2 linked regions of the Canis lupus familiaris genome follow. The protein of the gene in region 1 purifies or fractionates together with the protein of each later gene. This does not show direct contact. Links are inferred from orthologs where the notes say so. Each region holds a gene or a part of one and is shown on either strand. Other genes may lie near its edges.

Region 1 (4,629 bases):
TTGTCATTGCCTAATGGAGAGACCAAATAATCTTCGCCTAGACCCCCCAAAAATTGAGGGAAATTATATCTTTGTGAGAAACATATATGGATGTATGTACTCTTTGCATGTTGCTGCCTAAGTTAAATTCGCTAAATGGTAAATGTTAATATTAAATGTAGTTTTACTTTTTTACTAAAGAGAAATTATGAAATGTTGATATTTTTCAAATCATCCTGTTAAAGCTAAAATCCTTATTGTCTTAATGTACCTTTAGTTGGTACGTGATAATGCAGATCTTCGCTGTGAACTTCCTAAGTTGGAAAAGCGACTTAGAGCTACTGCTGAAAGAGTGAAAGCTTTGGAGTCAGCACTGAAGGAAGCCAAAGAAAATGCATCTCGTGATCGCAAACGCTATCAGCAAGAAGTAGATCGTATAAAGGAAGCAGTCAGGTCAAAGAATATGGCCAGAAGAGGACATTCTGCACAAATTGGTTAGTAGAATACCTTAAAACCATTTAAACTTTGCTTGGTTTGAATGTTTTTACTTACTTGAAAACAATCTAATTGGTGATTATGTGTTGTCAAGTTGGTATTTGTCTTTATTTCTAACTTACCAAAGAGTGGCATTGTTGCGAATAACAAGCAAAATGAGGAATAGCCACATTTACAGGACAAGAAGATAAGTAAGAACTAGACAAGCATGCAAGAGTGATCAGAAGAGGTGAAACTATAGAGATGAGTATTCTTAAAGACTGACTTGCAAGAAAATAAGTTGCCAGGAGTAATATGACATGCTTCAGAATAAATCATTCATACAGGAATAAGGTTTTTAAGAGAATAGGGATTATATAGGTCCTGGAGAAAAAGATACAACAGAAAAGAGAAGACTTAGTAACAGAAAGGCAAAAGGAAAACCACATTTGGGAATTCTTGTGAATCGAGAAGAGACGTCTCCTAAAACATCACTACAATCATGTGTTAAGATTTATCCTAAAGTCACTTTTTGTTCTTCATGTTAGCTAAACCTATTCGTCCCGGGCAACATCCAGCAGCTTCTCCAACTCATCCAAGTGCAATTCGTGGAGGAGGCGCATTTGTCCAGAATAGCCAGCCAGTAGCAGTTCGAGGTGGAGGAGGCAAACAAGTATAATCTTTACACGTTACCCACAGGTTCGTAGTTTATATCTGGCTTTTGAATCATAGTTCTACATGGAAATGTTCAGCCATTGGTTGTTAAATACTACTTTTTTTTTGGATTCTCATATTAACTGGGTTCTTTTTTAATGTATGTGATTATAAAAATAACTTGGCATGATTTCTTTTGGTCTTTTTTCATAGTTCAGATCATACTCTATTTTCAAATTTGTGTTAACATTTGTAAACTAACCTACTGGATTATTTTTCAGAGCTCTTATAGTTAATCTAATAGATATACACCATGGATAATTATTCCCTTTTATTAGACATAGGATTAATTTATGTCAATTTTTTCTCTACTTAATATAAAATGTCTCACATTTCAAATTTCATATATGGAAATTTCAGTTTGGAAAATTTCAAGTGTGAAATATCTTTGTGTCCCCTCACCTTTTAGGTTATTTTTAGATTCCCAGAAGTGAAATTACAAGAAAGCAGAACATTTCTAAGGCTCTTGATACATGTTAATACACTGCTCTCCAGCAAGATTAGGACAGATTGCCTCTTAGACAAGGATACTGTCCATTATTATTGTATCATTGCCAGCAATTAATATTGATTGATAGTTCTTAAGCTTCTGTTTTAATGGTCCAAAATAAGTATCTCTTTGATTTATTAATAAGAACTTGAATTTTTTTTCAAAAAACTTACCACAAAGTATGAGATATATATCATCCAGAAATACCACCCAATATATTATGTATATCTTTCAGGTGCTTTCTTTGCATATTATGATTTTTAAATTAATCTTAAATTATTGAATACTCTAATAATATACTATTTTAGTACATATGTTTCTTTGTAGCCTGCTTTTTAATTTTTATTTATTTTCTTAAAGATTTATTTATTCATGAGAGACAGAGAAAGAGGCAGAGACATAGGCAGAGGGAGAAACAGGCTCCTCACAAGGAGCCCAATGCAGAACTTGATCTCAGATCCCAGGATCAGTCTTTTTTTTTTTTTTTTTTTTTTTCCAGGATCAGTCTTTAAACCAAAAAGGCAGACACTCAACCACTGAGCCACCCAGACGTCCCTAGCCTGCTTGTGTGTTCTGAACATTTTCTTAAGCAGCACAACTAGTTAATTAATAAGCTGCCTAGTATTTCATCATAGAGCAGAAACTCTGGTTTTTGTGGTTTAGAAAAGTCCCAGATACTGTGCTTTGGATACTAAAAATACTAAAATAATTATGATGGTTAACTGTTTCAGACAAATACTAAAGCAAGATGCAAATAAACTGACTTTTTTTACTTTGACATATTGAGTAAGATTGACTCTAAGTTTGAGTAGAGAATTAAGCAATATTCTGAAGGAATCACATTTCCCAACAATCTAATGAAATTTTTTGTCCACACAGCATAGGATTTTAAAAGAGAGTGACATTGTGAAAAGAATATAGACACTGGAGTTCCATCTAAGTTTGAATCCTAACTTTTCTACCTCCAGCAAGTTACTTTTTTAATATTTAATTTCTTTCTTGTTTTGACTCCTTTTAAATTAAGCATGAAAACAAATTATGTATTTATGGTCTAAAACTAATAATTTCTATAAAACAACTTTTTTTCCATAACCACAATAACAGTATTGTACCTGATATTATAATAATATTTTATCTAATTAGATAATTAGTATTATCTTAATACATACTCAGATTTCTCTAATTTTTCCCTCCCAGTCCTTAACAGCTGGTTTACCTAAAACCAGCGTATAATCCGCAACCACTGTTTACATTCTGTTAGATCTCCTAGTTCTCTTTTAATTTAGAAAAATTCCCCTTTTTAATGACATTGACTTACTGAAGAGACTAGGCCAGTTATCTTGAGCATGTGCTTCCTCTGGATGTATGTTGTGTGGTAGCCTTGTTCCTCTGTTTCCCATATAAGGAAAGCATTTATTAGATGGAGCATATCATTTTTAACAAGACTGTCAAAGTAATAGGTGTTTAATCTTGTGTTACATATAGTAGATAGTTTTCCTGCCAATTAGAGATGGCCTCTGTTTTTCCCCATTTGAAGTAATGGCTTGTTGAGCCCCTTTGTGAAATAAAAGTTACTCTTGAGAATTATACAAGCTAAAATGTTGTTACCTAGGACAGAGCAGGTGTTCAGTAGAGGCAAGCTGTCTTTTCTGGAAGTGTAAGTGAGCAAAGGGATTTTTAAAGCATAAATATAGGTACAGATAAAAGTTTATTCTTTTGGGGTATTGTCCTCACCTCACATTAGAATTCATGTGTGGGGGCACCTGGATGGCTCATTTGGCTAAGCATCCAATTCTTGATTTCAGCTCATTGTCATGATCTCAGCGTCATGAGATCAAGCCCCACATTAGGCTTCATGCTCAGTACAGAGTCAGATTGAAATTCTTTCTCTCCCTCTCCTACTCCCTCCACTTTACTTGTGTGTGCGCTCGCTCTTTCTCTCTCTCTCTCTCAAAATCTAAAAAAAGGGAGGTGGGGATTCATGTGTAACCTTTGAACTCCTATCTCATTTGCAGAGAGGATAGACCAGGGCCTTTTGTTAAATATAACTAAGTTGTAGCATTTCACTGATCCCAGTGTAGTGACAGCTGTTCAGCACATGAGGGAGATAGCTAACCTAGCCAGACTAGGTTTTTAAGACTTGAAGTAATTAACTATAAAAGTATAATTAATTACAGGTTTGTTTCATTGCTGATCCAAAGGATTGTGGTTTTTAGTTTTTAAAGCCTTACATCAGTCAGTCTTAAACCATGATTGAGGAGTATATAAGCCTCATTAGTTATAAGTTGTTGGAAAATTAAATAATATGTAGAGAAACTTTTAAATTATTTTTTAATTATCAAGCAAAACATTTCAAAAACACTGGGTTTGTTTCTGGGAAGATAAAAATGTATGAATAATATTGATTCTTTTAGAACCCAGTTTTATATGGCTGGTCTTCTGGCTTGCATAATACCTTGACAAGTTGAGTTTTCCTAAACACATAGGTAAATAGTTTAATACAAGGTTGCCCCTGGGTAACAAGAGCTGGAATTGCTTATTTCACTGTTACTTTTCTTACTACGTGTACCTCTTATTTATACTATCCCTCTCCCCCTCCCCCACCCCGACTTTTGTTTTTTACAGCTATCAGGAATATAACATTGCTAGATCATGGTCTTTGGCTTAAGAATGTCACTGACTGTTGACTTTCATTTTATTAACCGTCTTTTTTTTTTTTTTTTTTAAACAAAATGTAGGGATGCCTGGGTGGCTGAGCAGTTGAGCATCTGCCTTTGGCTCAGGCCGTGATCCTGGAGACTCGGGATCGAGTCCCATGTCGGGCTCCCTTCAGGGAGCCTGCTTCTCCCTCTGCCTGTGTCTCTGCCTCTCTCTCTCTCTCTCTCTCTCTCTCTCTGGGTCTCATAAATGAATAAAATCTTAAAAAGAAAAATGTAATTCCTACATAGGCTCACTCATAACTCTCTTGGGGA
Region 2 (4,653 bases), on another chromosome or scaffold:
AGAAGTAGTGAGCTTACCATAGGATATACTTGACCTAGGGATGTAGGACCATGTCTCGGTCAGAGACGATACCAAGGAGATTCTTGCATCCACCAGGACACTTAACCTGGTGGACTCTGAGTCTGAACCCACCTGGATTCATGAGTAACACATAGGTACCAGTGCCAGGCCTTGTCAGATTTTGTCCCTCAGGTGATTATCCTGTTGTCACTAATGACATCGACCTAGAAGCAGTGGGGGCAGTGCCAGAATAGCCACTAACCCAGGGCTGCAGAGCGTCAGACCAAAACCGGGGCTTGGAGGGGATTTGGCAACACCAGTAAGTGCACTCTCCCACACTTTTTTAAAACCAACATTTACTGAGTGCTTCTTTGTGGCTGGCCAGGGGCTACTGTGGGAGTCAACGAGGCAGGCAGGTCTTGGCCTGCACTTTAGGGAGGAGACCGAAAACCAACAAGAAAAATATTAGAAGGGATAAGCGCTAAAGAGAGAAACAGGTGCAGGAGGGGACTTTATGGGAGGTCAGGGATCAAAGAAGGCTTTCTGAGGAGGTGACGTTTATTCTGAGCTTGGAATTACGTCACTGCCTAGGGTATCTGGTCAACAAATAGCACTTGTGGTGTTGACCCACAGGGGCACGGGGTTCGGTTTCGGCAGATGCCCAGCTGCCCTATGCCCACTTTTTCTCCGTTAGGGTCAAGAAGCATTTCTCCCAGGAAGCAGCATTAAGATACTGCGAATCCCACAGGGGCTTAGACAGTTCTGAAAGTTGGTTGAGGGGCATAACCAGTCCCTAGAGACAAATGAGCCTGGGGTCAGATATTCGAGAGGCGGATAATAGCAGTGCTCGCTTTATTGGGTCTTTGTGGGCATTAAATGAATAGATGCACTTAAAGCATCAAAGCGCCCGACACACAGTAAATGCTCAGGAAGTGGTAACTACCTCGTTAAACATCAGTAAGTGTCAAAAGTCTCGCTCTGGACTCGTTAAACATCAATCAGTAAGTGTCAAAAGTCTCGCTCTGGACTCGGAAGAGGCCAGGCCTCTTCCTGCGCCTGGGTTTCTCCCCCTGTCCTCTGGCCGCAGCACTGGGTGCACTCAGGGTTAGGATCTCCCGAGCCTCTCCACACCCCTGAGGCCTCGGGGCGGTGCACAGTCGAGGAATCCGAGGCCGCAGGGACGTGGGTGGTGGAGGCTTGGAACGGAAGCCTCCAGGCAGCCCACTACCCGCCCCTCTGTGCCCCGCCCCCGCGATGGCCCCGCCCCCTCCTAGCCCGAAGCGGGCCCGGCCTGCGAGCTCCTTTAAGGCAGCCTGAGGGAAGAGAAGAGCGTGTTTTGCCCCCTCCGACGCCGCCGCCGAGGTAGAGGCTTCACCTTTAAGGCGGCGCGAGGACTTCTGGGAAGGCCGGCGGGATGGAGGCGGCGGGACCGGCTTTCGGCTGCGGGTCCGGGTGAAGCGGGGCGGGAGCCGGAACCTGAGCAGGACCCGGGCCGGAGCCTCTGGGAGGCGTAGGTCCGCGCGGGCCGATACGGCCAGGAGAGGGGCCCCTGGGTCGGCCTAGGGGACGGTCATCATGGGCGCAGCGTGCGGGAGAACAAGGCCGGCCTGCTGGGAGGGGGCGCGGTCCTGGGTGGCCGGGGGCGGGAGCTCGGCCTTTTTAGGGGAGGGGTCCGCGGGGCGTCGCGTCGACCTATGGGGAGGGGTCATTGTGGGCGCGGCCTGGTTGGGGGAGGATGAAGAAGCCGAGATTTCGAGGCTTCTCTAGGGGGAGGGTCTCCAAATGGTCGGCCTTCCCTAGAGGAGGGGCTCTGTGACTCGGCCTAGTTGTTGGGGAAGGGGCTGCCCGAGGGCTTGGGGCTGGATCTCCTAGAAGGGCTGGGGTCTCCCCAATGCGAGTGAGCCTCCATGATCCCCGTAGGACCGCCCTCCAGCGCTCCCCGTCCTGACTAAGGGAGTCCCCGGGGAAGTCCCGAGGCTGCCGCCTAAGCCGGCCTGAGCGGGTGGTCTGGGCCCAATTCGAGTCCAGCCTCACCGGCCTCACCGCATTGCGTCTCCCCGGCCGAGGCGAGCTGGGCGCGCCCCCTGCAGGCCGAGCGCCGGCACGGCACGGGTTGCCGTCTTGGGGACCCAGGCACCCTGGGGACCCAGGCGTCCGGGGACCCGAGGTGTTTACCTAATCCGGGGCGGACGGCGGTGTGGCCCCAGGCCCGGCACCCGCCTGCCCGCCCCCTCGCCCTCACAGGCGGCACGCCATGGCTACGATGGTGCTTCCGCGGGAGGAGAAGCTGAGCCAGGATGAGATCGTGCTGGGCACCAAGGCCGTCATCCAAGGCCTGGAGACCCTGCGCGGGGAGCATCGTGCCCTTCTCGCTCCCTTGGTAGCTCATGAAGCTGGTGAGGCGGAGCCCGGCTCACAGGAGCGATGTGTCCTCCTGCGTCGCTCCCTGGAAGCCATCGAGCTGGGTCTGGGGGAGGCCCAGGTAGGCTGGTCTGGGATGCTGAGGTGGGAGGTAACGGGAGGGATGGAGCCTTCCAGAGGAATCCAGGCAGAGTAGGAACAGAATCTGAGCAGGGAACCTGCGGCCTCTGGAGCCCATGGTAAGACCCCAGATCTGATGAAAAATGAATGAGCTTTGGAAACCCCAGCTGAGTGCCTTGCCTCAAGAGAGCCTGATCATCCTTTAGCCCCCACACAGAACCCTGTTCCTGGCTTCTCTGATGGGTAGCAGAGACTGAATGGCATAGGAGAACAAAAAGGAAATCCTTAAGAATCGCTCCTCCCCACCCCATTCATTCTCTTATTCATTCCTTCACAGGTAAGTTATCAAGTGCCTACTATCTGCCAGACCGTCTGTTATGTGCTAGAGACACAGGTCCAACAAGAGAGTCAAGATCTCTGCCCTGGTCCACTGGGGAGAGAGTAAAAAACACACATATGTTTGTTACATGTTGTGGTAAATTGTACAAAGAGAAGAATAAGATCTTGTGATAGCTTATAGCAGGAGGTCTTATTTATTGGTCAGGCAAGAATTCTGAGGAAGTGACATTTAAACCAAGACCTGAAGGAGGGAATGAACGGGCCTCCAGAAAAGGGAGAGAAGCAAGAGGTTATATGTGCAAAGGTCCTGAGATAGGAAAGATCTTGTTGTGGTAGGAGAAATGAGAGAAGACCTAACTAGAGCTTCCTGGGGGAAGGAGAGGGACAGAAGAGGCCTTTGGAAAGGCAGGGGCCAAATCATACTGTACCTTAGTAGTTTGGCTTGTATTCTCAGAAAAGCAGGAGGCCTTTGAAGGGTTTCAGTAGTTAAGAAACACAGTAAGCCTTAGGTTTTATTTTTTTAAAGATTTTATTTATTTATTCATGACAGACAGACACAGAGTGAGAGGCAGAGACATGGGCAAAGGGAGAAGCAGGCTCCATGAAGGGAGCCTGATGTGGGACTCGATCCTGGGTCTCCAGCATTAGGTCCTGGGCTGAAGGCGGCGCTAAACCACTGAGCCACCTGGGCTGCCCAAGCCTTAGATTTTAAAAGCTCTGTCTGGGGGCGTGTGAATGACGCAGTAGAACATGTGATTCTTGATCTCAGAGTTGTTCGAGCCCCATGTTGGGTATAGAGATTACTTTTTGTTTTAAGTCTTAAAAAATAATAAGTACTCCCTTTGGCTGAGGTGTGGAGAATGAACCAGAGTCAAGGGTGGAAGGAGGTAGCAGGTGGTTAGCAAGTCACTGCTGGAATTCAAATGGGAAATGGTAGCTTGGACTACAGAAGTGGCCAGGAGGGAGGAGAGAAGGGGCCCAGTTCCAGATATGTCTGGAGGTGGGTCCAGCAGGACCTGGAGATGGAGTAGGGGGGAGAGAGGAGGGCAAAGTAACTCCCAGATGTGTGGTTTAAACAAATGAAGGGGACAACAGAGCCTGGATGATCAGGGGTTCTGTTTTGGACCTCTACGTTGGGGCTGGGAGGATGGTGTGCAGATGGAGATATTCAGAAGGCACTGGGGTGTATAAGGAGTACACACTCTCCGTGGGAGAGCCTTGGCCCCTTCAAATCTTGGCTGAGATGCTGCCTGGCTCCATGAATCCTGGACAGTTGGTATCATCTTGGTTTCCTTGTCTTTAAAATAGGGATCATGCCATCTGCTGTGTATATTTCCAGGCTGTTTAGGGAGTTTTTTAAAAAGCTAGTGGTTGTGAAAACACCTGTCACTTACACATTTGCTAATCAACTAGAAAGTGTAGGGTCCCAGACAGCCTGGCCCTCTGGAGGGCAATGTGCTGGTCATTCCGTCCTGGGCTAGTTGGCTGCCAGGTACAGAGATAAACACAGGGGTTCCCCTCCTAGTGTGCAGAGGCACCAACACAGATGGGCAAGAGGATGACATGGATGGAAAGTGCCCTTCTTTCCTAGGGCTGCAGAAATGACCCCAGCTGTGAAGAATGGAGAAAAAGTAGAGGGAGTTGAGCCTATGCAAGGCTCCAAGGCAGGAAGAGCCTAAAAGCTCAGGAGAAGAGTCCTAGAGGTTGGAGAAAGGGGTAGGGGCTGAAGCTGAGGCCTCTTGGTCCCTTTTCCCTGTGATTCCCAGACCATCTGGGGCCTGGGACATGTATACCTCTCATTCTGGGAGCTGCATAAGGCCAGAGGCTTACCTG

What was found. The genes of interacting proteins can lie anywhere in the genome.
Region 2: the proteins of KIF5B (region 1) and KLC2 fractionate together in Homo sapiens (co-fractionation; 7 studies listed by BioGRID and IntAct, with this or other methods). This does not show direct contact. The link is inferred for Canis lupus familiaris from reciprocal best matches to the Homo sapiens genes KIF5B and KLC2.

What each region holds. Positions count from the first base shown.
Region 1 is NC_049223.1:12,714,051-12,718,679, forward strand, and holds part of KIF5B (kinesin-1 heavy chain), read left to right. Parts: intron 1-256; coding exon 257-473; intron 474-1,001; coding exon 1,002-1,132; 3' UTR 1,133-1,152; intron 1,153-4,629. UniProt on the Homo sapiens protein: Microtubule-dependent motor required for normal distribution of mitochondria and lysosomes. Can induce formation of neurite-like membrane protrusions in non-neuronal cells in a ZFYVE27-dependent manner.
Region 2 is NC_049239.1:51,544,908-51,549,560, reverse strand, and holds the start of KLC2 (kinesin light chain 2), read left to right. Parts: upstream 1-1,245; 5' UTR 1,246-1,362; intron 1,363-1,368; exon of another isoform or gene 1,369-1,514; intron 1,515-2,207; 5' UTR 2,208-2,254; coding exon 2,255-2,482; intron 2,483-4,653. UniProt on the Homo sapiens protein: Kinesin is a microtubule-associated force-producing protein that plays a role in organelle transport. The light chain functions in coupling of cargo to the heavy chain or in the modulation of its ATPase activity.